Diceros bicornis minor: one gene and its partners. The protein of the gene in region 1 purifies or fractionates together with the protein of each later gene. This does not show direct contact. Links are inferred from orthologs where the notes say so. Each region holds a gene or a part of one and is shown on either strand. Other genes may lie near its edges. The genes, in order: SRPK2, PNN, YTHDC1 and SRRM1.

Region 1 (7,941 bases):
TAAACACACATAAAACAGTCAACACAGTGACTGGCACAGTGTTCAAATGTCATCTGTCACTATTACTTAAGGCGCCCCATCTTAATGTTCTCCCTATCCCTTAGCGCTATCTGAAGCTGTCATCTTTACTTCTCATCCTTTTTGGGGTCCCCCCAGCCCCCCAGAACGTAAGCTTCATGAGGAGCTCTGTCTGCCTTGTTCAAAGCTCTGTCAGTCTCCTAGGAAAGGCATGCAAAAAGCCTGTGGAATATATGAATAAATATATCACATCAGGCATCCCTTTAAAATAATGTCTTGATTCAAAAAATTAAGTGAAAAATGACATTGCCTCAATCAAACAGTTATGTAATTGGGCTGGTCTCCCCTTACTAATTACCTTGCTGACCAACCAGGTCATTCAGTCCTTGGTTGGGGGGGTTTCCCTCCAATCTTATTACATAAATACAACAAACAATGGAAGAAACTGATAGATTAATCCGTGAGGCAAACGTTAATGTGGCTATATGCTAATTCTTTATAAACATACCACATACATGCAAACTGCGACACAACAAAAAAGGCTCTTGGCCATTAGGAAAGTCATACCTTGAAATATGAAACACACACTGACCTACTCAACTAAAACTGTTTTTCTACATGTATGCATATATATACATAATATACACACATATAGATTTTATATATATATGTGTATACACACACACATACACACAGCCATCCCCAAAACTGGGGACATGCTTTTTTCACCTCCTTTTTATGTTTCTGAACATAATGGGCTATGCGGAAATAAATGCTTTGAAATGAAAGTTGTGATTAAAACCCAATACTCCGGATCCTAAACATTACAGTTCTCCCCACTTATAGGCTAAACTTCTGTCATTCACCAAAGGAAATCCCAAATTTAAGGTTCTGATTGACTTGAGAGCTAGCACTAATTTTTTAAGGCATCTAAAACTACCAAATATCCATTCTGTTTTAACGTCTTAAGAATCCAATATCCAATTTTTACCCACCAGTTCCTCAAGTCCTTAATAAGTACTTTTCCCTCACTCTAATAGTTTCTTTCTTAAGAAAGGCATCATTATGTCGATATCCACGTTTTGTGAAATCCTAAAAATACTTTCAAGTTATATTCCGTTTTGAATGAACAAAAATCCTGTCATGCTATACCACCACGTTAGCAATGACTTAGGCAGTTTGCACAGATGCTACCAACGGGTATGAAATTCGCTAGGCAGAGATCAAGGCGAACAGGAAGGGAAAAAGCCTAGGAATGCTGCAGGGTAGTCCTCTAAAGGAAACAAGAAATGCTTCGGGATTTTATTTAAAGATGATCATGGACTATCATTCCCCAAAGTACCAAAAATACCTTGCCTGTATTTCTTGCTCAAAAGGAAAAGCGAAGCCACACATCTAGAAGGAGTAAAGATGTTGAACGCTGGCGGATTTTCTTAAATTAGGAATGAAAGAAGGAAAAGGAGAGAGGCCGCGGCGCTGCGGTCTCGGAGCAGTTCTCCAGGAAAGGCTTCTCGGGCGCCGGCCGCTCCCCCTCCGGTCCGCAGCCATGCTGGAGGTGGCTGGCGACTGGCACGTTTTAAATATCACCACCCCATCCATCAACTCCCCAGCACAATGCGGGCTGGGAAGCCGCGCGGGGCCGCCCGCGCACACGCCCACCGGCCCCACCAGCCCGCAACCCGGCGCGGCCGCCGCGCAGCCAAGTCACGCTCGGCCCGAGCAGAAAGTTTCGAATAAAAACCCGAGCGCCGACACGCACGGGTCTCGGAGCTGAACTCGCGCCAGGAACACGCCCGAGGCAAACCACTTGACAACCAGCTCGGGTTTTCGGCAGAAAGGCCGAGAGGCGGGGGCCGGGGAGGAAGAGGAGGCGACACACACACACACTCACACTCTCTTACGTACGCGGCTCCTCTTCCTCTGGGGCCCGCGCGCCCAGGTGGGAGCCACGCAGCAGCCTCGCGCCCGCACACGGCGCGCCGGGCGCCAGCGCCCCTCCTGGGAAGGTGCCGACCCCGGGCCGGCTCGGCGCGCCGGGGAGGGTGCGCACGCCCGGCGCCTCCCCGCCCGCCCGCCCGCCCTCGACGGCCGCAGCGGCGACTGGGGGCCGGGGGCCGGGGATGCTCGGCGGGCCGGCCGCGGGCTCGCGCGCCCCTCCCCCGCCCGCCGCCCGCGGGGCGCGCAGGAGGCGAGCGCCGGCGTCCCGGGGGACCGGCCCGCCTCCGGCCCTGGGAGCGGGGCAACTTTCCCCGGCGCGACCGCGGGCTGCGCCCGACCGGCGGGGCCGGGGGCCCGGGGGCGAGCGCAGCGTGGACTCACTTTTTCGGATGTTTCTCTCTTTTCGGCCTCCGCTTTCGGGCCTGAATGGCCAGCACTGGGGAAAGAGAAGACACACATTAACGGTCGGGCCGGCCGGCCGGCCCGCGGGGCCGCGTGGCGGGCAGGAGCGAACGCCGCGGGCCACTCACCTTTCCGGGAGCTCATCCCGACGCGGCGGAGGGCGGGCGGGGGGCTTCGCGGCGGCGGCGGCGGCGGCGGCGGCGACGCGGTGCCGAGCCGAGCCGGACTGCAGCCTCCACTCGCTCCGCCGGCCGGGAGGAGGCGGGAACCGCGCCTGCGCCGCCGCCGCCGCCGCTCCCGCGGGGGGCCCGGCAAGACCCGCCTCCGCCCGGCCCCGCCCCCGCCCCGCCCCCACCCGCCCGGTGAGCTTGGGACCCCAGCGCCGGGCCCCTCCCGTGTGTCCCGCACCCGCCCGCCGGGCCCACCTGTGCGAAGCGACCCCCCGCGACCACCGCCAGTCCCGTCCCCGACCTCCCCCTCCCCAGCCCGCGGCAGGCCTCCGCCTCCAGCGCCCCCGCGGCGGGCCCAGGCCTCCCGCCTCTCCCGGGCACCCGGCCCGCGCGACCCTCCCTCGCAGCCGCGGCCTCTCCCCTACGCACTCCGGCCAGTCGCGCCGCCCGTCTCTCCATGCGCCCTTCCTTGGCCCGCGCCTCCGCGGGTCTCACACCACCTCTCTTCGCGCGGCCTTTTCTCCCCCTTTGCTCCCCTACATCCTTGCATCCCCATGAGCGCCGCTCCTCCTCTCCGGCGGGTGTGGAAAGGGCACAGGACCAAGAACTGGGAAACCTGGGTCCTTTCACTAGCTATGTGACCTTGGAGAAGTCATCTTATCTCACACGTTTACCTACCCCGCAGGACTGCTTGAGTTTAATGAAGGAAAAGATGCAAATAGCGTGGAAAGAAGGATGAAGCTTTCGCACGTGAATTAAAGCCCAGTTCAATGAATACCACGTGTATAACAATTTAACACACCACCACAACCACCAAGTAGTTATTTTCTCCATCTTACAATGAAGAAACTGAGTCCTAGAGAGGTTAAGCAGTTTACCCAGCAATGACTGAAATCTAGGCCTAACTCAGTCCAAACTCTCCACGTATCATGCTTCCTAATTAAGATGTGAATCAACTTGATAGTGGGACAAAATGATAACTGCAGTGTTCCTTTGTTTATTTAAATACTGATAATATTTTTGAAAGATATTCATCCTGACCATTTACTCTCTCTTTGGCTATACAACTCTATTCTTAACTGATCAAAGTAGCTAGTCTTATTCTAAAGATGCTAAACCCAACAGAACAGAAGGCGCTGCTTGGAATTAAAGAGCTTTTTACTTTCTCAACTTTTTATTTTCAAAAACATCAAACCTACAGAAAAGCTATGAGAAAAACATAATGAACACCCATATTAACCCATATTCACCAGTTTTTAACATTTCGCTGCATTTGCTTTCCCTGTGTTGGGGGGGGAGAGTTGTTTTTGCTGAATCATGAGTTTTTTGCAGATAGTGTTACCCTTTACCCCTAAATATTTCAGTAAGTATCTCCTGAGACAAAGATAGTCTCCTACTTAATCAGATACTGTTATCATTCCAAGGAATTTTATTAATATAATACTATTATCTGTAACATACAGAGGTCATGTTCAAATTTTCAAAATATCCCTTTTAGCTGACTTTTTCTCCAACCCAAGATACAATCAAGGACCATGCATTGCATTTAGTTGTCACATCTTTTTAAGCTCCTTTCGTATAGAATAATGCCCGGTTTTGTTTTTTCTTATAACATTGACTTTTTTGAAGAATCCAGTTCTACTGTTTTGCAGAATGTTCCTCAGTTTGTATTCATCTGTTCCCCCTTAGATTGAAGTTACATAATTTTCTCAGGTACACTATCATAGATGATGTTGTGTTGGTCTTAGTAAATTGCATCAGGAGGGCTTTGATGTCTGTTTGTTCCATTATTGGTGATGTTGCATTTAATCATTTCTCCATGGTAAAAGTACCTTTTTTTCTTTGTATTTAAAAAGTAATCTGTGTAAAAAATGGGCAAAGGACATCAACTGATGAATGGATAAAGATGTGGTGTATATATACGATGGAATACTACTCAGCCATAAAAATGACACAATCATGGGGCCAGCCCAGTGGCATAGTGGTTAAGTTTGCACACTCCGCTTCGGCAACCTGGGGTTAGCAGGTTCAGATCCTGGGCACAGACTTATGCACCACTCATCAAGCCATGCTGTGGCAGCATCTCATATACGAAATAGAGGAAGATTGGCACAGATCTTAGCTCGGGGCTAATCTTCCTCAGCAAAAAGAGGAACATCAGCAACAGATGTTAGCTCAGGGCCGATCTTCCTCACCAAAAAAAAAAAAGACGCCATCATCACATTTGCAACAACATGGATGGACCTTGAGGGTATTATGTTAAGCAAAATAAGCCAGACGGAGAAAGACAAACACCACATGATTTCAGTCATATGTGGAAGATAAAGTAACACATGGACAAAGAAGGCAAATCAGTGCTTACCAGAGGGGAAGGGAGATGGGGGGTGGGTGAAAGGGGTAAAGGGGCGCATACGTATGGTGAAAGATAAAAATTAGAGTATTGGTAGTGAGCACAATGCAGTCTATACAGAAACTGATAAATGATAATGTACACTTGAAATTACACAATGTTATAAACCATTATGACCGCAATAAAATAATTAAAAAAAAAAAGTTTGTCATGTCTGTAGCTGTTACACTGTGAACAGCACAGAACCTCGAGGAACATTCTTCCAGTGTTGGAAAACTATCATCCAATTCAGCCAACAAGGTCACTCGATATCCTTGGCGGATGAGTTAAGATTCAACATGTGCTTCACTCTTGTCCTTTCATCTCACTCTTGAGTGTAAATGAAAACATCAACCAACATTTATGTCGGAACTATACTCAAGAGTCGGTGACATGAAGGACTTCTTGTGGAATCAGATAGTAATCAAGCATTTGTTCATGGTCTGATTTTCTCAAATCCTGGATGAATTGTAACCACAGGTTGGCTACAGATGTAACGGTTGGCAAAAATCAAAGAAAGCATTCTAGGGGGCTGGCCCAGTGGCATAGTGGTTATGTTCACTGCTCTCTGCTTTGTCGGCCGGGTTCACGGGTTCAGATCCTGGGCTTAGACCTACACCTCTCACCAAGCCATTGCTGTCGTGGCAATCCACATACAAAATAGAGAAAGATGGGCACAGGTGTTAGCTCAGGCCACTCTTCCTCAAGCAAAAAGAGGAAGGTTGGCAACAGGTGTTGCCTGTTAGCTCGGGGCCAATCTTCCTCGACAAAAGGAAAAAAAAACATTCTAGAGAACAATTGGTGCTGTAGAATTTACAATAAAAAGGATTGTATATTTTAGTATGATTTGTAAATTGTGTGCTATTTTACGGTTTTATACAGATAAAATGTATAATATACTTATGTACGTAAAAAAAAAAAAATGGGCAAAGGACTTGAATAGACATTTCTCCAAAGAAGAGAAACAAAGATGCTCATCATCACTGGAGAAATGCAAAGCAACATCACAATGAGATACCACTTCACACCTACTAGGATGACTACAATTTTTTTTAATGGAAACTAAGTGATGGCAAGGATGTAGAGACATTGGAATCCTCGTACATTGCTGGTGAGAATGTAAAAGGATGCAATCACTGTGGAAAACAGTTCCACAGTTCTGCAAAAAGCTAAATATAGGATTATTAGCAATTCTACTCTTAAGTATATATTCAGAAGAATTGAAAACAGGTACTCAAACAAATCCTTGTGTGCAACCGTTCATAGCAGCACTGATCACAGTAGCCAAAAGGTTAGAAACAACCCAAATATCCATCAACACATGAATGGATAAATTGTGGTATAGACATACAATGAAATATTTTTCAGCCATAAAAAGGACTAAAGAACTGATACATGCTACAACGTGGATGAACCTCAAAAACAGTCTGCCGAGTGAAAGAAGCTAGACACAAAAGGTCATATATTGTACCACTCCATTTACATGAAACATCAGGAACAAGCAAATCTGCAGAAAGCAGATTGGTGGTAGCCAGTGGCTTGGGGGAGGGGAAACGCGGAGCAACTGCATCATGGGTCCGGGGTTTTATTTTGTACTGAGAAAATGTTTTGGAGCTAGATAGAGGTGGTGGTGGCACAACATTGTAAATGTAGTAAATGCCACTGAATTGTTCATTCTAAAATGATTAACTTTATGTTATGTGAATTTCACCATGATTTTGTTTTATGGTTCTGTGGGGTAATATTTTGAGACCATGTGAGTATCCTTCCCCAAGAATCTTCACTCTATGGGTTAGCACCCATTGATGATGCTTGCCTGAATCAATTGTTACTATAGTGGTTGTAGAATAATAATATTATAATCCTAACATTCCATCTGTTCCATCTATGTTAATTAGGTGACATTCTTATGTAAAGAAGAGCTTTCATTTCTCCTGCCACCCCTTTGTTCTCTGTTTGTTTTTGGCTTGTTTTTTGTTTTTATTTTTGGTTTCAATATTGACAGTAATTACTGTCACTTTGATTTTTGATTCTTGAATTGCCCCATACTTGACCAGGGAAGACACTTTCAACTTTTAGTGTCCTTCGGACACATCCCAATCAGTTTTTGAGCACCTCTTCACTTTCTGGCACAAGATGTTCCAGGAAACTTTGTGCTTTCCCTAACTGGGTCTCAGAACCAGCCATTTTGCTGGTCTTGACTCCTTCTAGAAGGTGATTAAAAGCTTTGAAGCCAAAGAAATCCGATTTTAAAACCAGTTTCTTTTATTATTTTTAATAGCTTTACTGAGATATAATTCACATACCATACAATCAACACATTTAAAGTACAAAAGGCAATGTTTTTTAGGATTGTTGTGCAACCACCACAACAATCTAATTTTAAAACATTTTGTCACCCATAAAAGAACCTCCATAACCATTAGCAGTCACTCCCCATTTCCCCCAACCTCCCCTTGCTCAAGGCCTAGGCAACCACTAATCTCCTGTCTCTATAGCCCTGCCTATTCTGGACAGATCATATAAATGCAATCATATACTATGTGGCCTTTTGTGACTGGCTTCTTTCACTTAGCTTAATGTTGAAACCCATTTCTGCCTCTTAATTTCTGCATAACCTTGGGCAAGTTACTTAATTACAACATCTGGGAAACGGTAATAATATTAATACCAATCCTGCTAGATCAATGTGATAATCAAATAAGGAAAGTAAATATTCAATAAATGGTAATTACCATTAACATTAGTTGGGAAATCACACCCCATCTCTTTGCGTCCATTTGTTCAACAAATATTTCTCAAACACCTGCTATGCAGCTGGCATTATTCAAGGTATTGAGTCTACAGCAGTGAACAAAGCACACAAGACTCTCCCTGCCCTCGTGGGACATTCTACTGCCAGAAGACAGAAAATAAACAAAGTAAATATGTGAAATATATATTATATTTACTGGATGGCAATAGTGTCTATGACAAGAAGAATCAAAACAAAACAGCAACCTGTTGGGAACGTGTTTAGAAAAG
Region 2 (7,847 bases), on another chromosome or scaffold:
ATGCTTTTAAGCCTTTTCAATTCTCTAGTAAAGTTAACACACAAAAGCTGAAATAAAATTTTATTAATCCCCTATAACTAAATTGTTATCTTCCTTTCTACTGTAGTTCTCCCCTGAGAAGTAATAATTTGGTGTTCAACTCCGAGGACACAATCTTGTAGCTTCAGTAAAATAAAAACTTCTGGAAAGATGACACAGTTAAATAAACTGTAGAGGTCGGGGAATGTTTATGCTTTTGCTTCTAGAGTGCTAAGTACTGCCTCTGAGTGTGTAAATAAGTCTTAAAAATTAGAATTACTGAACTAGTTACAATGATTGAAGTCAACTCTCCTATATGAGAGAAAGCACTCTCAGGCCTAAAGAAACAAAGCGACTTGTCCAAGACCAGGAAATGAGATCGTAACAGAGCTCAGAACAGAATCCAGGTTCTCCTGACTCAGAGACCAGGGCTCTTTGCACTACAAAGAGAAGTTCACTCAGTTACTTCACAGCACCTCAAAAAAAGACCGGTTAACAACACAACTCCAGAAAGTTTTATAAGTTTTTCCTTGGCTTCATTTTGGGCAATGAAGTCTTATAAGAGCTCTTCAGCTCTTTTTAAAAACATGTAATCAACTACTTTGGTAACAAATAAAAGAAAAGGAAAAGCTGCATAAATACCCTTTCAGTAGCAACAGTGGATTCTTGTTTAAATTTCTGAAGTGTGCCCATCAACAAGCCAAATATTCGTCGGTTCCTAAACAACAGAAAAAAGAAAATTCAATTTCAATGTTCCACTTCATGTAAGCCTGCCATTTCCTAAAAGAAACATACTACAGGCACTTGAACAATGCCTCGAATTTTCTTAAAATTGCACTATTTGACAGTTCTTTCCCCCAGAAGGATACTGAAGATACCTTTGCTTTCCCTTTTCGTCCATATTTTGATCCTGGATAAGGTCTCTACGTGTGCGCTCTTTGGAGGTAGCTACAACTGAAGACTGCAAAGCCGGCTGCAGGAGAAAAGAAATCTCAGTAATTTTACTAGTGCACGGGTGACACTCTTTTAAACGTAGTAAAGTGAAAAACTATATTCATCCTCAAAGAAGTTCTTTTAATCTCAACTACCTTCTTAACATCATCGTCCTCTGGGTCGCTTTCTTGGCGTGATTCTCTCCGAGTCCGACGCTCCCCGCCCAGCCTGATATAGGAAAAAGAATTTAAACCACCATTGTAGAATTTGACTTAAGTGCATGCCAAGGACAAATGACTACTCTTTCTAGGACTCACTTCTAGAAGCCTCATTCTATCCATCTCCAATCCCATTTTACTCCTTCCTCTGGTAGTGAAAGGATAAAATGTTATCATCAATGCTAAATCCGAACTGATCTCCTACAATATATTTCTCAAGCTGGTTAAATTTTTATAGTACCAGACAGAAAAGTGGCACAGATTGACTATTTTCTCAATCTTTATTCTTCTCATGACCTTTATTTTGGTAAAATTTCTGTTACCGTTTAGTGAAAAATTGAGTTCTGAGGAATACTGGCTTTCTCAGTCCAGTCAAATACCAAGGGAACAGACTCAGGAAATGGTATACTACTCAATTCTAACACAGCTCAATTCAACAATATTTATATTTGTATGCTACCTCAGAACACAGAGCACACAAGTATACCTTCAGAATCTTTTCCTCCAACATACCTACTGACTGCCCCTTCAAGGTCTCTCTGCTTGGCTGGGGGTCCTCCTCCACTATCTGAGAATCCACGCCTGCAGTTCAAGAAGTCCAACATAAAGCAGTTGAAATTTAAGATAAATGATATTTCCATTCAGCAGGAGAATTCAGTTAAACTTTTAAAAATGCTTCTAATTAAAACAACTTTAAATGGGCATTCACTCCAAGATACTTTTATAGCATTTTTTTAAAAGCTACAAAATTAAATTAAGTTTACAGAAAACTAGCACGATTAAGATATTCTTCAATCTCTAGTTTTGCATATAAATGAAATTCCAGGATAACTATACAGAAAGCTACACCTGATCACAGCTTTAAACAAAACAAACACAAACGTTTCTAACACGAGTTTTGTTTAAACCAATACGTTAGCTTAGTATAGTAAGCACCAAGTCTTAGCATACGAATTAAGTCCTAAGGAAACCTTACCTCAGCAATAAACTACCACGTCCTCTACCTCCACCAGGACCAGAAAGGGCCAGCAATCTGGCTTGGATGGGCCTACAAGAGATTCACAAATCAGTACAAAAACCACATGTGCACACATCTAACGGCACCAAACACTTCCACGGGTGCGGTTCATCATAAAGAGAAAATAACCAGAAAAGTTCTAAAAAGACGGTTTCGAATCCACGTGTTTGAAACAGGGCAGGAAGTACCATCTTATTTAACTTCCTTGTTTTTCCCAGATCACTATCAGAAATTACATTCACCTCGATGCTACCGCATATTAACGAGGTCCTAATGTCGCCAACCCCAAGGAAGGTGCACGTGGGGCAGGAGGCCGCGGCGAGACGGCGGGCCGCGTCCCGGGAGGGCTCGGGGCGGCCGAGGCCAGGGGGGGCAGGGGCTTTGTGCTGCAGTTCCGGGCCTGCAGGCCGAGGGCGGGAACCGGCGGTCCGGGCTCCGCACAGGCCGGGAAGTCATCCCGGCGCGACCCGGCCCCGCGCTCCTTCCTCACACAGCTGAGCCGGGGGACCCACGGCGGGGGCCTTAGGACGCCCCCTCCCCGAGGCCGGGTTCCACCGCCGCCCCGGCCCAGGCCTCGACGCTCCAGCCGTCTCAGGCTGGCCGCCCTCCCGGTTCACCCCGGCCTGTTGGCTACCCCTCGGAGCCGGCATTGTCCGTCCGCCCCTTACCTCACATCATTCGGATCCCGCCCGGTGAGCTTGCGAATATTCTCGTCCACGTTCTTTAGGCTCTCTTTGGCCTTTTCCAGCTGCTCCTGCAAAGTTCTCACTGCGACCGCCATCTTCTCCCCGCAGCAGGCTTCGAGACTGCTCCACAGGCCGCGCCTGGCCGGGTCGCGCCGCGAGACGCGAGCGGATTGACAGCTGGCCTCAGCCAATGACAACAAGCGTTGTTTTTCGGCCTCAACCACTCAGCGACCGGAAGAGGGAGAACCTGCCGGCCTTCGTGACTCTGGGCCAATGAAAAGTCGGCCAGGTGGTCACCTCCCTCCCCAGCGAGCTGCGGGTGGCTGCGCTCCGCGTCCAGCGCAGGGCTGGGGCGGGCCTGAGAGTCCCTGGGTTGTGGGAGACGTGGGCTCCAGGGCTTGCTCTTCTGGCGGGGCGCTCGGAGTTTTCTGGCCCTTGTAGCCTGTGATATGACGTGCCTTAAATCCTTTTTAACCTTCTGATTACATCAGGGTGGGATGGAGCCTGTTTACCCCTCTTCCCGGGTAAATGATTTCATTAGGACAGGGTGCGGCCATTCTGTTGGTGCGCATGCCCAGAGAGGGGTTGCGGGGCGCAGGCTTCCCTCGATTAGGTGAAACCAGGATGAGCAGAGGGAAGCAGAGAATGGAGGTACAGGAAAAGTCATTAATCGTAATACCTGACAGTTATTTTGTTTTTTGTGTGAAACGCTTTACATGCCTTATCCCTCACAAACCAAAAGCTTGAATCACATGCCTGTTATAACCGATAAGGACATTGAGTCTGGAGACACTGTAACTGTAGCGAGGTCGCGCCAGCCGATAATCACCGTCCAATCAGACGCTGTGCAAGGATGTGCTAGAAGAAAAAAGCGATGGTGAGACAGACGAGACAGGCCTTAGTCCCTACACCTCTACACTTGGCCTAGAGCTGGTTGGTTTAAGATGGGGCCTGGGGGAGAGGCACTGTTGTTAGATGTGTGTGTGTGAGAGTGTCATCCAGCTTCTGGTTCCGCTGTAGCTGCGCTGCCAACGTGAGAACCGGTTTTGTTCCAGAAATATATTTGCAAATTATAGCCCAGAAAGCATTTCCGCGCAGAAGCAATATTATGTATAATCTTCGGGTTCTCATCCTCCATCTGTCAGCTAAGCATCCTCCTTGCACCAAGCATTAGCGAGCCAACTGTATTTAACTGGAGTTACAGTTACCCTTTTAATTCATCCACCCATCTTTAGAAACTCCTGCTGTGTAGAGGCACTAAGCTAGGCTCTAAGGATAAAAGCCTAGAACAAGATAGCTGTGGTCCTGCTTCCGTGGGGTTTGTAGGCCCCTCAGGGAGCAAAGATCATTCATATACTCATTCATTCATTCAACAAATATTTATTGAGCGTCTGCTATGTGCCAGGCATTGTCCTAGGCACTTGGATACATCAATGTACAATAAAGATCTCTGCCCTCAAGGAGCTTCGTGGCAGAAGAGTGTGGAGACGGACGACAAACTTAAGTAAATGACATTGCATGTTAGAAATCAAGAAGTGCTATAGAAAAAAGAAAAAGTAAAGCTGGGTAAGAGGGATGAGGGTTGACAATTATCTAATTCTGGTTGTGAGCATACATAGTCTCATTGATCCTTATTACAACCCCGTGTAGTAAGCAGTACACAAAGCACGAGAATGTGGTGATGGTGGATCCTAACCACCGAGTGTATCCATGTTTCCAAGGGAAAATGCTTTTAGAGTTAACCAAAAACATGGGATCTATTCCTACTTCCATAGGATCTGTTAGTAGGATCCTGGGCAATTTAACACAGTCTGCTTTATAGGGGAGAATCAGTGGGATGCTGTGTTCAACATTTAGTAGGTGCTGAATAAATATTAGTTTCCCCTCTATTCTCCAAAATATTATAAGAACTCGACGTTACTGTACTTTGAGAAATCAACCTTAGTAACTTGGTCAATTCCTTATTCTTTGACCTCGCTGGTGGGCTTGGACTTCTGTTCCTTGACGGTGGTGATGAACGGAGAATGCAATCAGGACATAAAAGACCTGATTTCGCATATGGGAAATTTTAGTGCTGGAAAAATTAAGATTATGGTTGCAAAATACTTTTCAAAGCTATACTATTCAGCGTTTTCAAAGGCTTAAGTGGAACTTTTATGCTTGATTTATGTGATGATCAAATAAACTGATCCAAACATTAGAACGTTACATCCAAACGTAAGAAAAAAAAAAAAAGCTGCCATAATTCCAATTATGGAACATGATCTTAAATTTCTGTGAAAGGGTATGAAGAGTTGAGAGGTTATTGTTAACAATTTGAGGAAACTCAATATGTTAATTTGGGGGAAGCAATGAATTAATTGGAAAAAAATCTGCCTTGTGGATTACTAAGAAAAGAACTCATCACAGGCTAAGCAACACGTTTAAGCCAGAGATTGCCAAATTGAAGAGATGCATATGAGCTAACATATGTGTTTGCTCCTCTGTAGGAGTTAGTACCATATCCGGCATAGATTCTTATGAACTCCGTCCCACTGTGACGTCACTTTTCTGAAGTGTTTAGCACTTTTCTGTTCACCCAATCCTCTGATAATTTCTAATTTCTGGTTCAAATATATCTTGTTCTTTGCTTATTCCATCCTCCTTGTTCCTTACACCCCGCTTCCAGTAAACTTTCTGGCGGCCAACATGGCTCTAAATCTTGTTGCATAGGCAGGCTTAATCCACAGTGGATTGGGCTAATTTCTCAATATATATAAAATGTATAGCCTGAAAAATGATGATTTATTCACTTTTTACAACTTTTCTTATTGAGGAACATATGGCAGAAGTGGAAGTTTTTGGTGAAGCTAATAGAAATTCACGTCAGTTCCAACTCAGAGCTAATTAACAGAGACGGCAGTGGGAGTTCCTTTTGTTTTACTTTACCCACCCGACTTCCGACATCCTACGCGGGAGGACCCTCCCGGCTGTCTGGGCGCCGGCATTCACCCCGAGGAGGAACTCTGTGACCATAGAGCTGGCGGAATGCCGGGGTAGAGGGGACCGGAAGTTGTTCCTTCGTCCCCGCCCCGCGGCCGGGTCGGGTCTCCGCGGGCCGGGTTGGATGCCTGCCGCTGTCAGTCTCTCTTGTTGGGCCCGAGGGCTCAGTGGCCCGGGGGTGGGCCGCCCCGGTACCGGGTTCCCGCCGGTACCAGCCGTCCGGAAGCCGAGTGAGTTCCTGTGTCTCCTAGCAACGAGGGACGGGCTGCGGACTGAGGGAGCGGCCCGGTCCAGCTCGCTCGGGCGCCAGCCGGAACCCCGAGCCGGCCCAACGGGAGCCGGAACCGGAGCTCGGAAGAATAAGCAGGCGATGGCGGATGAGGCGTTGTTTTTGCTTCTGCATAGCGAGATGGTGTCTGGAGTGTACAAGTCTGCGGAGCAGGGGGAGGTGGTGAGTGCTGCCACACGCGCTTGCGGTCCTTCTGCGTGACACTCCTCGTTTCCCCAGTTCTTTCCCTCAACCCCTGTCCCGTCGCCACCCAGCCTCTCCCGAGGTGTAGACACATCGGTCCGCCTCCGGGTATCCTAAGCCCGAGAGCCCGTCAGCTGTCTTCAGTCTTGCATCCTCTTCCCTTTCGCGTCTTCTCCTGTTTGATGCTTTTTTGTCCATTCCCAGTCTGTGTCCTGCAGGCCACAGATTGGTCTTACTTTTAGTGTTTGTTGCCCCTGCCGTGATTTACGGCAGGGTTAACTGCACAGCCGATTTTGGCTGTCACTGATTTTACTTCTGCTGTCACTTCCCGCACTTCCGGGCCGTGCGCTGGACAGACAGGTCCCAGCCTGAGAATCCTGTCGCTCTCTCCTCATCCATAACAGTGATATCCCTCCACGCAGCTCGAAGACAGAAGGCTAGTGAGATTTGAGGTCATAGCAAAAGAAAGTTTGCAGGCGTTACTGTAATTAGGAAACACAAGTTTAATTAATTCAAAAAAAACCTTTTATTTAGTGCCCGTTATATGTCAGAGCTAGTTCTGGGTGTTGGGGATATATTAAAGAACGAAACAATGGCCCCATCCTCGTGGAGGTTACTTCTAAAATGTGGGAGTCCTCGTTCACTCTTTGATTTATTCAGAAAATATTTATTAGGTGTGTATTGTGGCCCTGACACTGTGCTAGATGAATAAGATAAAACCTCTGCCTCACAGTTGTTGGGGAATAGGGGTTCAATGAATAATTAACATATTGGGTATAATTAGCTATAGAATCATGGAGTTTTAACAGATTTTATAAATGAGATATTCCAAAGTCACGCTCAAATCAGAAGCCCTTTCTATAATGCTATTGATAAAGAGGAGTGGAAAGTGAGAATAGGAAAAGCATCCTAGGCAAAGGTAAAGGCATAGAGGTATGAAAGAGTGGTGTATTTAAATACAGTTTTGCCTCACTTTCCTGAGGGGATACGTTCTAAGACCCCCAGTGGAGGTCTGAAACCACAGATAGTACAGAACCCTATATGTATTATGTTTTTTCCTATTCATACATACCTATGATAAAGTTTAATTTATAAATTAGGCACAGTAAGAGATTAACAACAATAAGTAATAAAATAGAAAAATTATAACAATATACTGTATTAAAAATTACCATAGATCTTAGCAACCTCAGCATATGATTTTTTTCTTTCCTTATTAAGTCCAGAACTTTTACCTTTTCACTTAAGGAAGCGCTTTTTGGCTTCTCTTGGGCGTAACTGAATTGCCAGCATCACTACTCTTGCACTTTGGGGCCTTTATTAGGTAAAATAGGGGTTACTTGAACAGAAGCACTGACATACTCGCCTGCTGATCTGATAACCTAGATGGCTACTAAGTGGCTAATGGGCAGGTAGCGAATACAGCGTGGATCTGCTGGAGAAAGTGATGATTCAGGTCTGGGCTGGACAGAGCTAAACAGCGTGAGATTTCGTCACACTACACAGAACGGCACAATTTA
Region 3 (6,887 bases), on another chromosome or scaffold:
ACAACCTTGTAATCATTTATTCAAGGAACTGAGACACAATAACTGTACACAAGAAACCTGATGAACAAGACAGACATACTCCTGACCCTCATGAAGCTTCCAGTCTAGTAATGTAGAAAACATGTTACTTTTGAAAGTGGTAACTTATTATCCACATTTTGGATATATTAAACTTTGATTAACTTTTTTGAAGAGAACTTTATAAGAGCTTAAGAAATAAAATTTATACAAAGTGTTTATAATAAAAAAGATGTGTATTTCTGCATATAGAAAAATGGCATTTAACATTAGTTAACACCATCAACATTCTAATGTCTTTCAAATCCACTTTTTGGACAAATAATCAACACAGGAATCAAAGGAAGCTGGCAATCTGTCCAGTTATAACAGGCTTCAGCTTCCAGGTATTAGTATTACAGAAGCATTATAGAAGTTAATGCCTGTTTATTACACAGCTAACGCACAAAACCCAATAATCCAAGGACTCAATGACCAAGTCTTTTAACTGTTCTGTGATTAATAGCAAATTCTTGCCATTTAAACTCATTTCTGATCAAGATCTTACATTATTTATGTAATCATTTAAAAACGGACCTCAAGTTTGTGACATGTCTAAGATTCTTACAAGGTTTATCTTTGCCATTTCCTAATGTTTCATACAAGATAACTGATGACACTAAGTACTTAGTTTCCCACTTTTCCTTGTTCAAGTATGAGAAGGAAGAGTCAAGTACTGATTTTAATTCTGGCTATCATTCTAGCTGTGTGACTCAGTTTCCTTATTTGCAAAGTGGATTATTCTAGAAATCCTGCTACTCAAAAATTAAACAAGCAATTCCAGTAAGTTTGTATTTGCTAGCTTTCGCAGTAAACTAAGAGACAATCTTCGATCTAAACTATAAAGATAAGCACTTATATCAGAAGTTCTAAAATAGAGAAGTTCAATTATGGAAATTAAGTTTTTCAAAAACTACACAAATCAAGGCCTTTCAAAAGCCGGACAATTTATCCTAAGTACTGCTAATAGGTAGCGTTACTACTTCCCAATAATAAAGTTTAAGTATTTGGATTACATTTTCATCACTATATCCACTTCTTTGACAAAATTTCTACACCACCACCTACTTTTCTTCCTCAATGTACATTATGGAGTCTAGTCTATTACTGACTTAAAATTACTATGTTCATCTTAACAGACAACGAATTCTTGAGGAGTGCTGAGTTTTACTCATTTTATATTTGGTTCATCTCACCCACCATAACTGCCACCCATTCCCATACACACAGCTCATAAATAACAGTGACAGAATCAAGCATTGACTGAATTCTTATTGATTAAAATCATCTATTTTAATAACTAACTTTACTACTAATTAAAAGCAGTTTCTTTTATTCACTAACACCATGCAATCCTATGTTCACATTCCTTTCAGACTTCTCAAAAAAAGGGCAGAAGGGGTTTCTAGGATTCGTCTAAGGAAGTAAAATTAAGCTACCATAACCTAATCATTGAACTGCTTTAAGATAGGAGCAATATCTTAAACATATTCCCACCCACTCCACTTCCCAAGCTTGTCCCTATCCTACAGCAGTTTATTGAAGCATGAAGACTTCTTTCTTTTAAGGAGAAAAGATCACAGGCCTAATGCAACTTGATTCTAGAGCTCATTTAATAAATTCCCACCCCAAATTTACTAGCCACACAGAAGAGTAGATCTGTGAAATAAAGAGCAGCAGCTGTGCCATATTTTTTTTAACTATAATCTTTCGGTAATCTTAGGGTTGGAAAAGACCTTAAGGCACCATCTAATACAGACCACCCTCTAGACAGGTACTGATCCAGGATCTCCATCTCCAGAGCCTGGGAGATCGGTATTTCACAAAACATGACACTCCTTTCTGGCAACATCAGTTCTTTCTATATTCCACTGTAATTCTATCCCTCCAACTCTCTATAAATTACATCCATTTGCTCCTGGTTGTACTCTCCGGGAGTTAAGCACAATGTGTTTCTATCAGAATAGCGGCCAGGATTTTTTTTGCCAGGCCTAAATCATATAATTACCCTTCCAAACATCTTGTTTTCTAAAATAAGTGTTTGAGGAGCCAAACGGGCAATTCATGCCACTTTACCTATTTTACAGGAACAGCCACAAGTTACTAATAGATATTTCTCGAGATTAATAATCCACCTATAGCACTTCTTAAATATGCTCACTTACTATACTACCAGCTCTGATCGTGACATTCAGGGTTTTCGAAATTTCGCCTACCAGAAAAGGTTGTTCTGAAGATATGCATTACATCCGCATAATCTTACCAGCAAATAAACCTAAGGGCCTGCAACTCAGAACAGGCCTTGTCCCAGCCGCGCCCAGAACAGCTAAACGGAAAAAGAAGAGGGGAATTAGGATCAAAGAAAAACCATAGGCCAGATAAGTGTTAGGTCATAGGGAGATCGAGGACGTAAGGGCAGGCCTGATCTTTTCCAATGAGTGCAAGCGTCTCGGTCGGGGGGACCCGCTCCGCGCGGAGCAGGCTAACCCCCCCAACCCCCACGCGGCAACGACGACCACGGCTCCGTCGACCCACTCCCGAGCCCCGCCTCCGCCCGTCACCTTCCTCCGCACTAACCTTTCTCCTCCCGGCTGTCGGCCGCCATTGCTCCCCTCCTGTTTCCGCTGCTGCCGCTGCCGCTTCGACGCGAATCGCGCCGGCGCCGCAGCCGCGGCAGCAGTAGCTCGGAGGCGTCCGTCAGTCCGTCCGCCGGGCTGCGCGCTTCGCTCCTGGGCCTCTACCACTCACCCTTCTCGACTCACCCTTTTTCTCCCCGCTTCTTTCCCTTCTCCCTTTTCCCCTTCCCTCCTTTCGCTCCAATCTCCCGCGGCCTAGGCCAAGCCTTCCCGTTGGGGCTAGGGGACCGGAGCGGGTAGGCGGAGGGAAGGGAAACAGATGGCGACAGCGGGCGGCGCTAAAATGGAGCCTGCTTCCTGCGCGAAACAATCCCGCTCCCGAAATGCCCTGCGCTGTTTACGCTTCGTTCCTCCCTGGGAACGTCACAGTGCGGAGAGAGGCGGGGAAGCAGGGCGAGCAAGGGAACGTGACGTAACGTCAGCACGTCGCCCCGCCCCCCGCAGCCCGGATGTCCGTGGAAAGAGTCTCATTGCCAGTGATTAAGCGGCCGGAGTTATTTAAATCGAGCCGCTGCTGTGCTGTGTACGCCTAGGTGGCGCAGTTTTCTCGACTGAACCGGGTATTCGCGTACTTTTCAGCCTAAGAGCGAAGATGCTTCGTGTCGCTCCGCGCTACTCCTGATTCCCTTCTGGAAATCGGAGATTTATTTAGGACAAGTATGGGCCTTTGCCTTTGCAGTCGGCAGGGATGGCAGTTGTACTTTCACAGTTGGTGTCCCGGGCTTCAAAGGCAGCACAGGATGCAACTAGCTCACTTGTCACAAAAGCATACTAGTTTTGTTTTTAATTGGGGAAAGGAATTATATTGTATTTTAATATAACTTTGTAATTCACATAATAGCAAATTTGATTTAAACATTTATTGAGGCCCTGGGGTACTCAGTTGATTAAAGAGACTATTGAGAAATTGAAAGTACAGAAGTGACCAAAAACTACTTAACTAATAATATGGTGAAAGGTACATAAAGTTTATTATCCAAAAGAATAAAGATGTAATTTTGCTTCACTACTCCATGACTGAGTTTACAAGGGAAAGAAAATTTGAAAAAAAAGTAACATTGTTATGTAAAAACAAACCAATGGCATGTTCAGAGAAAGAAAAATAATCTAGAGTTTCTTGGTCCTTGATGGCCTTTATAACAAATTGAGACCAAACTAAAGGCAGTGGGAAGATTTTAAGCAGTGGAAAAACACTAAAAGAGATTTGTTTGGAGCTGTTGGAGGCTTGCAGGGAAAAAAGAGAAGGAAAAACAAGTAAACATAACACCCAGCTATGTGTTAGATGCTTAGGAATCAAGGGTGAATAGAATAGTATTTCTGTCTTTAAAGAATGTTCAATATAATATAGGGAAGAGACAATAGGAAATTAATGTTGAGAAATAAATGAAAAGCAATAAGAAAAGTATATATAGAGACAGACAGACAGACAGAGTATATAAGGAAGCCACTTGGTTTAAAACTAGTTTGGCCTGACCTTGTTTTTCCAGGAAGGCGTGTCATAGCCTGTGAAGCATGCATTGTACATCTGCTTTAAACATTTACAAAGCAAAGAATGATGCATTTAAAGATAAGGATGTATGCCTCCCCCCATATCAGCGTTTTTTTTAGAGATAAGCACTTTGTCCCAGAAACTAAGGGTCAAACTGACCTACTGTGTACATCTTGTGACCTGCTGTGTTTATCTTGTTACCACTGACCTGCTGTGCTAGCAAAACAGCTTGTGACTGTAGTAAAAGAGATTCCTGTCATATTTGATATATGTTCTTTGTTTCAAGATGGTATATAACCATGCTGTACACTTCACTTCTTTGGAGTACTTCCTTCCTTGGTGAAGGCGCCTTCCAGGGCTATGTGGTTCTCACACGGGCTCATATGATAAACTCACCCCAAGTTGTTTTATAGATTTATTATGGATTGTTTGTATTGATGTCGTGTAAGAATAATGGTTAAAATTGTGTGTTCTTACTGTGTGTGCCAGGTACTGTTCTGAGCACTTGAAGTATACGATCTGATTTCCTCTTCCAAAAATGCAATTAGATTACTAGCTCTATTTTACATAAATGGAAAGTGAAGTAATGTGAAATTAAAGTGCCCAAAGTCACAAGTAGTAGTAAGAAACATGGCTCAAATCCAGGCAATTTGGCTCTAGCCCCCACCCACTTGATATTACTGCATCATGTAGCATACTCTCAGGATATTGGAATCCTTAGAGGCATGTCACTCAGAGTGATGGGGGGTAACAAGGGGGGTTCCCTTTCTGAAGAAGGGAAAATAAAGCCTAGTTGAGAACTAAACAAATATTAGCCTAGGTGAGAGGGAGAAAGGGCAAGGGTAATGTTAGAAGGATAGTTTTCACGTAAGCAAAGGTCCTAGGTGGCAAAGCTGCCCATAGTTCAATTCAAGTCGATATTCAGTGGTTAGGTAAGAAGAGACTGAATCAAGAAAAGCATTATAATGTAATGTTCTACTCATTTATTAGTTCAGTCAACTAGTATTTATTAAATTCCTATTCAGTCCTATATTGTTATAGATTCCAGAGTTAATATACATATATAGTATAGGATCTGGTTTCTCTCTTCAAGGAGTTCAGGTTTATGTTCTAGTTAGGGCGACAGGGCATAAGTAAACAATTACATGTGATGAATTCTAGGAAAGAAACAAATAAAAGGCTAATATGATGAGGCAGAAGGACTTTTTATGTAGAAAAACCGGTAAAGCCCTCTCTGAAGAGGTGAAGTTGAGACTGATACCTATAAAAGGTGGAGGTAAGAGTCTTCCAGGCAGAGAACAGCACGTAACAAAGGTTCTGAGGGAGAAAGAGGCTTTAGTGTGGTCAAGGATCTAAGGAGAATGCCAATGAGCTGGACCCCAGACAATGAGAGGGCAAGTAGCTGAGATAATGTTTGAGGGACAGGACACACCTTAGGAGTAAGGGCCTAATCAGGACCCAGCCTGAAACAAAAGCAGTACAAGCTTTGCAGAGAGAATCTCCAGGTTGAGCCCACTGGAGAGTGGGAATGGAAAATGTCTTGGGCTTTCCACAGATGGGCACCCATAAAGTGTAAAACCAAGCTCACACAAGTTCAAGATGATCAGCACCTCTCAGAGGAAGAGAACAAAATAGAGTCTGTGAAACATATTTTTCACAATATTCAGTTTTAAATCAGGCCAGGACCAGGTCATATAGCATAGGTTGCAGACTGGTGCCTGCTGACCTAAGACTTTCCGTGAACCAGTACAGTGTATGCTTTTATTGAAGTTTAATGCTTTTAATCAGGGCACACAACTTCCAGTGAGGCTTGGCCTCCACCATGCCTCTAAATTGCCTTACTCCTGGCCAATATTACTGATTGGAGTGTATATCTCTCAAGTGTGTGGATTCAGGAAAAAAAATTGGCAGGGCCGGCCCAATGGTCTAGTGGTTAAGTTTGCGTGCTCCACTTCAGCGGCCCAGGGTTCCTGCATTTGGATCCCCGGTGCAGACCTACATACTGCTCATCAAGCCATTCTGTGGTGGTGTTCCATACACAAAATAGAGGAAGATTGGCACAGGTGTTAACTCAGGGACAATCTTCCTCAAGCAAAAAGAGGAAAATTGGCAACAGATGTTAGGTCAGGGCCTATCTTCCTCATCAAAGAAAAAAAAAATTGGTAGTTGAGTTCTGTTGCCCTGGGAAGATTATGTAGAGTGAAGAGTAAAGGAGACTCAGTCCAGAGTCTTAGAGAATATCAATATAGGGAAAGCAAATGTATAATATGAACCTAGAACATCTTGTCATACCAGACAGCAGTGATCAATGAATGCTAAGGTCCTGTCAAAATGACTCAGAAGAGTTCCTAACTAAAATGGCTCCCACTGGCCAAATATGGACATTTTAAGCACTGTAAAGATAAAACTGCGTTGGCTTGAAACATATCAAGTATGTTTAAATCCATGAATTCATAATAGTTCAAAAAAATTCATCAGTCCTCTTTGGATGATGCTAGGGAACCAGTTCATTATTTTGAAAACTAGCAAACAAAGAGAAATCATTCATCCTGTGTTTGCAATTAGAACTGTATCTCAGGGTTACCAAGCAAGTAGTTGATGAAGGGAAGTTTCTCTTCATAGAATTATTCCAGGTAATATATGGCTAGGGTGAAGCAATGACAGAACTAGGACATCACCATTTTACAACCATTAATGAAATAAAC
Region 4 (7,655 bases), on another chromosome or scaffold:
GTTCCCTGCAGGAAGAGAAATACATTTTAATTAAGAGTTCAAAGTTAAATTCCTACTTTTTATCAGCTACTGATGGCTATGACCTTTACAGTCGAAATAGGGTAATCAAGTAAATAGAAACACCATAGCTAATATTCATAGGTACAGAATGTATACTCTCTTCCCAATGCAGCTGATATTTTGAAAACTGTATTTAAAAATTACAAAATACATGCTCATTGTAACAAGTCAAACAATATAGCAGCATACAACATAATGCTAACACCTCCCCCACAACCAAGTTTGATGTGCATCTTTCTATACCTTTTTCTAGGCTAATGGAGATTTAAGGCTGTTTGGTTTAAATGAGAACACACTGGGGCCAGCACAGCCGTTGAAGTTCACCCATTCCACTTCAGCGGCCCTGGGTTTACTGGTTCGGATCCTGGGCGTGGACCCCCGCACTGCTTATCAGGCCATGCTAAGGTGGGGTCCCATATAGAAGAGCTACAACTCTACACTATAGTACACAACTGTGCATTGGGGCTTTGGGGAGAAAAGGGAAAAAAGAGGAAGACTGGCAACAGATGTTAGCGCAGGGCCAATCTTCCTCAATAAAAATTGCTTAAAAAAATAAACGAGAACATGTTGTAATATTTACTACGCTTAACATATGCCTTCAAACAAGACCGTTAAGTTTCATCCTCTTCTGAAAGCCAGTAGCATGTTTGCAAAATTATTGTGGCAATGCATATAAGGGGAAAAAGGAAAAAACTCCCTAGGCCTGTGCTGTGTTTAGTTTTCCACAACTTTAAGAACTTGAAATGCATGAAAAATATAGGTTTACCTTCATAAAATCAATTTCAGCGAAAAATTTGGAAAAATAAGAACTTACAAATACTACATTAGACCATCAAGTGATCACTAGTCTACATTTTGTCATTCCTACTGGCCCAATTAAACCTGGAAATAACTAGCCATCTGATACAAAATCTACTGATTGGTTCACTGAGTTGGTCACTGTCCCTTGGAAAGTGATCAAGAAAATTTTGTTCGGGAAGGTAAAGGACCTGGATAAGAATCTCAACTCTGCCACTACTTAAGCCATATGACCTCAAAGCAAGTTACTTAACCTCTCTGAGGATGTTTCTTTAGTTGCAGGAGTGTGTATATCAGAAATGATACATGTAAAGTCACTGGCATGTGGCAGATTTCAACAAATGCAATCCATCACTTCTAATCTATCATTTCTATCTTAACCGAAAATGTCAGTTTACTACCCTGGCTGGCACTGTACTAAAAAGATAACTACCCTAAAATCTTTTACCTCGAAGCTTACATCCAGTCAACTCATCTAAGGAATTATAGGCGGTATATAAAAAACTGCATCCTTTTCTTTCAGACTTTTACCAACACCAAAAGCAAACTTCATTTTTAAATTTATCAACCACCTTGCTCTTTTTCTACCGGAACTCCTTTCCATGGGAAACAACCAAAAAAATCACAGGCTTTTGTTTCAAATTATTACATTCAGACCCCAGGAAATATTGAGTATTTACTACAAAATACTTTGATGGAAATTACAAAATGGAGTGTTCATCCGCAGTGTGATAATTTGATAAGCTCTCTCAACTGAAACTATCATTACATAAATAACTACAATACTGTTTGCATAACCTAAGAACCGTCAAATAACTGGCTGTTTTAAGTCAACTATGGGAATAACATTCCAACTTTTGATGAAAAACTAATTGGCACACTGAAAGCCAATTAAAGAGGAATTTCAACGCCAGCTTTGGAGTGTCAAGAGATATCTTAACCAAGTCCTGGTGTTCCCCTCTTCCACTTTTCCTTTAAACACACACGTACAAACTGCATAATATGCTCCGGGGAATGGAAAGAGACAACCCTACCCTACATAAAGCATACATTTTGACTTGGACCCACTGGTCTCTATGTGGTCCGTTGTGCTTTAAGAGAATCTGCAAAGTCTAGTCCTGTTAGTGCCACTTCGCACCCGTCCAGATCTCGACTGGGTGCTCATTTCCTAAAAGACGAGACAAACAGGCGCCAGCACGAGCCTGATACTCTGGCCCCTGAGGACCAACTACGCGCGGCGAGGTAACTTCCCCGCCTGCAGGTGATGGGCGAGCAGCCCGGCAGAACCTAGGTAAGAGGCACGTTTTCTCCAGCGGACTTCAAGAGTTTAAAAAAAAGAAAGAAAGAAGGGGGGGAGGGAGCGAGCGGGAAGGAGAGGAGGCGATCACCCTGTACCCTGCCTCCGCACACGCGCACACTTTTGTTGCGCCCTCTGCCCTCAGTCCCCGATTCAAACGTTCCAACTACGTATCATCTGAGTTCCCCTCCCCGCAGGGTATTAAATTGGGCGGGAGCTCTCGCGAACTCTGACCCCGCGCCTTCGCGAAGGCTCAGGACCAGGGGGAGGCCGGCGGGGGAGGGGGGTCGGGGCCCGCTTTCTCAAGAAAAGACGCCCGACGCTGTTTCCTGTGCTCTACCACGCTCTCCCGGGGCGGCACCCCCAAACCGTGCCCAGGGCCTCCCGCCGCCAGTCACCTCCGGGCTGCCCCGCGGCCTCCCCCCCGGACTTCCTCCTCGCGGCTCCGCTAGGCCCGGGACTCGGCGGCGCGCGCGGCTCGGCGTGCAGGCCCCGCCAGGCCGGCGGACGGCGAGGGGCCCCTCCGGCCCATTCCCGCCGCCATTTTCCGGCGACCGTCGCCGCCGCGTAGGGGGGACGATCCCGGAGGAGGAGACTGCGCAGGGGCGCACCGGTCTCGCCGCAGGGCAGGGGGGCGTCCGCGGGCGCCGAGGATCCTCAGGCTCTTCGAAGCCTCCCCTCGCTGCCCGCTCCGTCCCAAGTCTGAGCCTCCTGCCAGGCCTCGCCAGTAAGTGCCTCACCTCACCCCAGGTCCCCGCGCTTCTACTTACGCGGAAGAATCCCGCGTCCATCTTGCTGCCTCGCTCGGAGATCGCTCCCTGTCCCAGGGTGCACCGCGCCGCCGCGACGGAGGGCGGGACCGGCAGGGAAAGCCGAGCGCCGGGACGCAGCGCGCGCCGCTCCGCCCGCCCCTCCAGCCGACACGAGGCCGCGCCTGCTCAGTGTGGTGCGCGCCCGCCACGCGTGCGCACGCGCGCCCAGATGGCGGGCAGCTGCCGGGCTCCGAGGCTCCGCAGTAGCCAGTCCGGGAGGAGAGCCTCGCGACCGCAGCCAATGGGAGCAAGAGAGAGAGTCGTCGGGGCGCCCCGCCCTGCGAATCCTTTTGTGGCGCTGGACCAGCCCTGTTCGCGCAGCGTGACTTGAGCCCTCCTTCGACCCGTAGTGGAGGAGGCCTCCCGCCCTGGGGGTTCCGTGGAGCGATTGAGGAGAAAGGCTGTTACCTCAGAGTGACGCTGGGGAGGCGGCCGGTGCGCAGAAGAGAAGCCTGCGGCCTCCGCTGTCATTGCGAAAATTGTGATTGTGTTGGTTTTACGAGTTTACCGGTTATTACGATCGGCTCTAAAGTAGAGCGGTGCAGTCTCAGTGAAATCTGCGTTCCGGCCCAGTTTCCCCCCATCCCCACACAACTCGGTCGTGTTCGGGAGAAGCTGGAAATGCCCATTAGAAGAGTTTCGGTTTCGGCTGCCTGGCAACCGCGCTAACGGGCGGGAAGCCGATGAGCGGGCCCCCCGCAGGGCTCTGCGGGAGAAGCAGCGAGCCGCCCCGCGGCGTGGCCTCGGCCCCCTCAGCCCTGCCCTGTCGGGGGGCCTCCAGCGCGGGAGGATGGCGCCAGATTCCCGCCGAGCGCCTTCTTTCTCAGAGAAAGCCTGTGTCCCTTCCGTGGCCGTCTTTTGTCAAGTGCCCGCCCACACAAACACTCGTCCCCCGTTCCTGCCTTTTCTTCAGGACAGTCATCACACCTGAAACTACATTTGTTCTCTCTCGTGCCTTTAGATACCGACTCTGCTGACGACTGCCCTCTCTCTTCAGCTCGGACTTCTCGCCCCAACTTCAAACTCGTAGAGTGTGGATAGACACCCCAAACTTGACATGACCAGGAACTGAACTGGTTCCTCCCTACCCTGGTCTCACCGCCGCCCACCCCCGGATGCGACCTGCTCCTCCCGAAGCCTCCCCTGCCTCAGTTGATGGCGGTATCTTTCCTTTTGTTGAGGACACAAGCCTTGGTGTTACTCTTGACTCCTCTTTCTCTTACTTCTAAGCCATCGGGAAACCCACTGCTAGAACCCCGGTTCAAGGCACCGTCATCTTTTGTCTGAACTTCTGCGCTGGCCTCTTCGCCGTCTGCCTGCTTCTACCCTTGCCACTCAGCGTCTATCCTAAATGCAGCAGAGGGATCTTACTAGAAAACCTTAGACCTGTCGCTCCTAAGCTCAAAACCTTCTAATAGTCCCTCCTTGTTCTCAGAGCAAAAGCCAAAATCCTACCCGATGCCCCCACGTTTCTTCCTTGATCTCGTCTCCTAGTACCCTAACACTGCTCACTGCTTCAACTTCCTAGGCTTGCTCCTGCCTCAAGACTTTGGTGCTGCTGGTAACTTCTGCCTGGAATGCTCTACCCCGAGATATCTATTTGGCAAATTTCAAGTTTTTACTCAAATGTCACCTACTCCATGAGGCCTACCCTGACTGCCCTTTAGGAAATTGCTCACACACCCTTTCTATATCTCAGATGCCTCTTAATCTACCCTCTTTTTTTCTGTCGCATTTATCGCCAAATATTTGTTTATCTATTTTTTTTAAAGATTTTATTTATTTATTTTTCCCCCCAAAACCACAGTTGATAGTTGTATGTCATAGTTGCACATCTTCTAGTTGCTGTATGTGGGATGCGGCCTCAGCATGGCCAGAGAAGCGGTGCATCGGTGCGCACCCGGGATTGGAACCGGGCCGCCAGCAGCGGAGCGCGTGCTCTCAACCGCTAAGCCACAGGGCCAGCCCTGTTTATCTATTTTTAATGTTTGTTTATTATCTGTTCCCCACACTAGAATTTAAGCTCGCGAAAGTCAGGGCTTTCTGTCTTTTTTTGTTAACTGGTGTGTCCCTAACACCTAGAACAGTGTCTGGCCCATAGTGTAGGCTCAGTAAAATTTGCTGAATGAAAGCTTTGTCAGAGGTCAAAGTTAGGGGAAGTGGCTGGCTTCTATAGAACAACTATGAAATCACAGTGCCCCACATCTCACTGACTGTTCTCTATGATTCTGATCGGTTGTTCTGTTTTATACTTCCTTCACTGTCTCTGCTCTTTTGCTGCCAATTTTGTAAATGCTGGTTTTCCTTGAGGTTCTGTCATTGACCCTTGGTTTCAATTATCTTTTCATCTCCCAAACCTGTATATCTCAGGCACAAGTCTGCCCCAGACCTAATATTTTCAACTTCCTGCTGACATTCACTTGCATATCCTGAGCCTTCAGTGAGTCGTAACCTTTTTGCTGGTGGAGGGTCTTGCCTTGATGTTGCTGGCTGCTGACCCATCAGAGTGGTGGTTGCTGAAGATTGGGGCAGCTGCGGCAATTTCTTAAAATAAGGCAACAATGAAGTTTGCCACATCGACTGACTCATCCTTTCACAAATGATTTCTCTGTAGCACGCAATGCTGTTTGATAGCATTTTACCCATAGTGGAACATCTTTCAAAATTAGAATCAATCCTCTCAAACCCTGCTGCTGCTTTTTCAACTAAGTTTATATAATATTCTAAATCTTTTATTGTGATTTCAACAGTCTTCACAGCGTCTTCATCAGGAGAAGATCTCATCTCCAGAAATTACTTTCTTTGCTCATCCATGAGAAGCAACTCCTCATCCATTAAAGTTTTATCATGAGATTACAGCAATTCAGTCACATCTTCAGGCTCCACCTCTAATTCTAGTTCTCTTGCTGTTTCCACCACATCTGCAGTTAGTTCCTCCACTGAAGTCTTGAACCCCTCAAAGTCATCCATGAGGGTTGGAATCAACTTCTTCCAAACTCCTGGTAATATTGTTATTTTGACTTTTTCTCATGAATCACAGATGTTCTTAATGGCATCTAGAATGGTGAATCCTTTCCAGAAGGTTTTCAATTTACTTTGCTCAGATTCATCAGAGGAATCACTATCTATGGCAGCTAAAACCTTGTGAAATGTATTTCTTAAATAATAAGACTTGAAAGTTGAAATTACCCCTTGATCCATGGGCTGCAGAGTGGATGTTGTGTTAGCAGGTATGAAAACAACGTTAATCTCATTGTACATCTCCATCAGAGCTCTTGGGTGACCAGGTGCATTGTCAATGATCAGTAATATTTTGAAAGGAATCTTTTCTGAGCAATAGCTCTCAACATTAGGCTTAAAATATTCAGTAAACCGTGTTGAAAACAGATGTGCTGACATCCAGCCTTCATAGTTCCATTTATAGAGCACAGACAGAGTAGATTTAACATAATTCTTAAGGGCCCTAGGATTTTCAGAATGGTAAATGAACATTGACTTCAGCTTAAAGTCACCAGCTGCATTAGCCCCTAACAAGAGAGTCAGCCAGGGGCCGGCCCAGTGGTGTAGTGGTTAAGTTCGCACACTCCACTTTGGTGGCCTGGGGTTCACAGGTTTGGATCCCAGGTGTGGACCTATGCACTGCTCATCAAGCTATGCTGTGGCAGGGGTCCTACATAAAATAGGGGAAGATAGGCACAGATGTTAGCTCAGGACCTAGCTTCCTCAGCAAAAAGAGGAGGATTAACAACAGATGTTAGCTCAGGGCTAATCTTCCTCACCAAAAAAAAAAAAAAGAGAGAGAGAGAGAGAGTCAGCCTGTCTTTCGAAGCTTTGAAGCCAGGCATTGATTTTTCCTCTCTAGCTATGAAAGTCCTAGATGTCATCATCTTCGAATATAAGGCTATTTTGTCTACATTGAAAATCTATTGTTTAGTGTAGACATCTTCATTAATTATCTTAGCTAGATATTCCGGATAACTTACTGCAGTTTCTACGTCAGCACTTCCTGCTTCACCTTGCACTTTTATGTTATGGAGATGGCTTCTTTTCTTAAACCTCATGAACCAAGTTCTGCCAGCTTCAAACTTTTCTTCTGCAGCTTCCTCACCTCTCTCAGCCTTCATAGAATTGAAGAGAGTTAGGGCCTTGCTCTGGATTAGTCTTTGGCTTAAAGGAATGTTGTGGCTGGTGTGATCATCTATCCAGATCACTAAAACTTTCTCCATATCAACCATACGGCTGTTTTGCTTTCTTATCATTCATGTGTTCACTGGAGTAATTTCCTTCAAGAACTTTTCCTTTGCATTCACAACTTGGCTAACTGGCTCAAGAGGCCTAGCTTTTGGCCTGTCTCAGCTTTTGACACGCCTTACTCACTAATAATCATTTCTAGCTTTTGATTTAAAGTGAGAGATGTATGACTCTTCCTTTCACTTGAACACTTAGAGGCCATTGTTGGGTTATTAACTGGCCTAATTTCAATATTGTTGTGTCTCAGGGAATAGGGGGCCCTGAGGAGAGGGAGAGAGATGAGGGGACGGCTGGTTGGTGGAGCCATCAGAACACACACAACACATCAAGTTCGTCTTATATGGGCACAGTTCATGGCATCCCAAAACAATTACAATAGTAACGTCAAAGATTGCTGATCACAGATCACCATAACAAATATAGTGGTGCCTGAAAAA

The links.
Region 2: the proteins of SRPK2 (region 1) and PNN purify together in Homo sapiens (affinity purification with mass spectrometry; 3 studies listed by BioGRID and IntAct, with this or other methods). This does not show direct contact. The link is inferred for Diceros bicornis minor from reciprocal best matches to the Homo sapiens genes SRPK2 and PNN.
Region 3: the proteins of SRPK2 (region 1) and YTHDC1 purify together in Homo sapiens (affinity purification with mass spectrometry; 4 studies listed by BioGRID and IntAct, with this or other methods). This does not show direct contact. The link is inferred for Diceros bicornis minor from reciprocal best matches to the Homo sapiens genes SRPK2 and YTHDC1.
Region 4: the proteins of SRPK2 (region 1) and SRRM1 purify together in Homo sapiens (affinity purification with mass spectrometry; 3 studies listed by BioGRID and IntAct, with this or other methods). This does not show direct contact. The link is inferred for Diceros bicornis minor from reciprocal best matches to the Homo sapiens genes SRPK2 and SRRM1.

The regions. Positions count from the first base shown.
Region 1 is NC_080742.1:12,839,325-12,847,265, reverse strand, and holds the start of SRPK2 (SRSF protein kinase 2), read right to left. Parts: upstream 2,988-7,941; coding exon 2,958-2,987; intron 2,550-2,957; exon of another isoform or gene 2,503-2,549; coding exon of another isoform or gene 2,487-2,502; intron 2,393-2,486; coding exon 2,338-2,392; intron 1-2,337. UniProt on the Homo sapiens protein: Serine/arginine-rich protein-specific kinase which specifically phosphorylates its substrates at serine residues located in regions rich in arginine/serine dipeptides, known as RS domains and is involved in the phosphorylation of SR splicing factors and the regulation of splicing.
Region 2 is NC_080744.1:10,963,158-10,971,004, forward strand, and holds the start of PNN (pinin), read right to left. Parts: upstream 3,014-7,847; 5' UTR 2,969-3,013; coding exon 2,856-2,968; intron 2,218-2,855; coding exon 2,146-2,217; intron 1,752-2,145; coding exon 1,683-1,751; intron 1,180-1,682; coding exon 1,107-1,179; intron 992-1,106; coding exon 897-991; intron 737-896; coding exon 661-736; intron 1-660. Other genes in the region: TRAPPC6B (trafficking protein particle complex subunit 6B), read left to right, coding at 5,980-6,306. UniProt on the Homo sapiens protein: Transcriptional activator binding to the E-box 1 core sequence of the E-cadherin promoter gene; the core-binding sequence is 5'CAGGTG-3'. Capable of reversing CTBP1-mediated transcription repression.
Region 3 is NC_080747.1:54,209,670-54,216,556, reverse strand, and holds the start of YTHDC1 (YTH domain-containing protein 1), read right to left. Parts: upstream 3,004-6,887; 5' UTR 2,663-3,003; coding exon 2,635-2,662; intron 2,384-2,634; coding exon 2,321-2,383; intron 1-2,320. UniProt on the Homo sapiens protein: Regulator of alternative splicing that specifically recognizes and binds N6-methyladenosine (m6A)-containing RNAs.
Region 4 is NC_080752.1:40,888,725-40,896,379, reverse strand, and holds the start of SRRM1 (serine/arginine repetitive matrix protein 1), read right to left. Parts: upstream 3,013-7,655; 5' UTR 2,947-3,012; coding exon 2,926-2,946; intron 2,609-2,925; exon of another isoform or gene 2,554-2,608; intron 6-2,553; coding exon 1-5. UniProt on the Homo sapiens protein: Part of pre- and post-splicing multiprotein mRNP complexes. As a component of the minor spliceosome, involved in the splicing of U12-type introns in pre-mRNAs. Involved in numerous pre-mRNA processing events.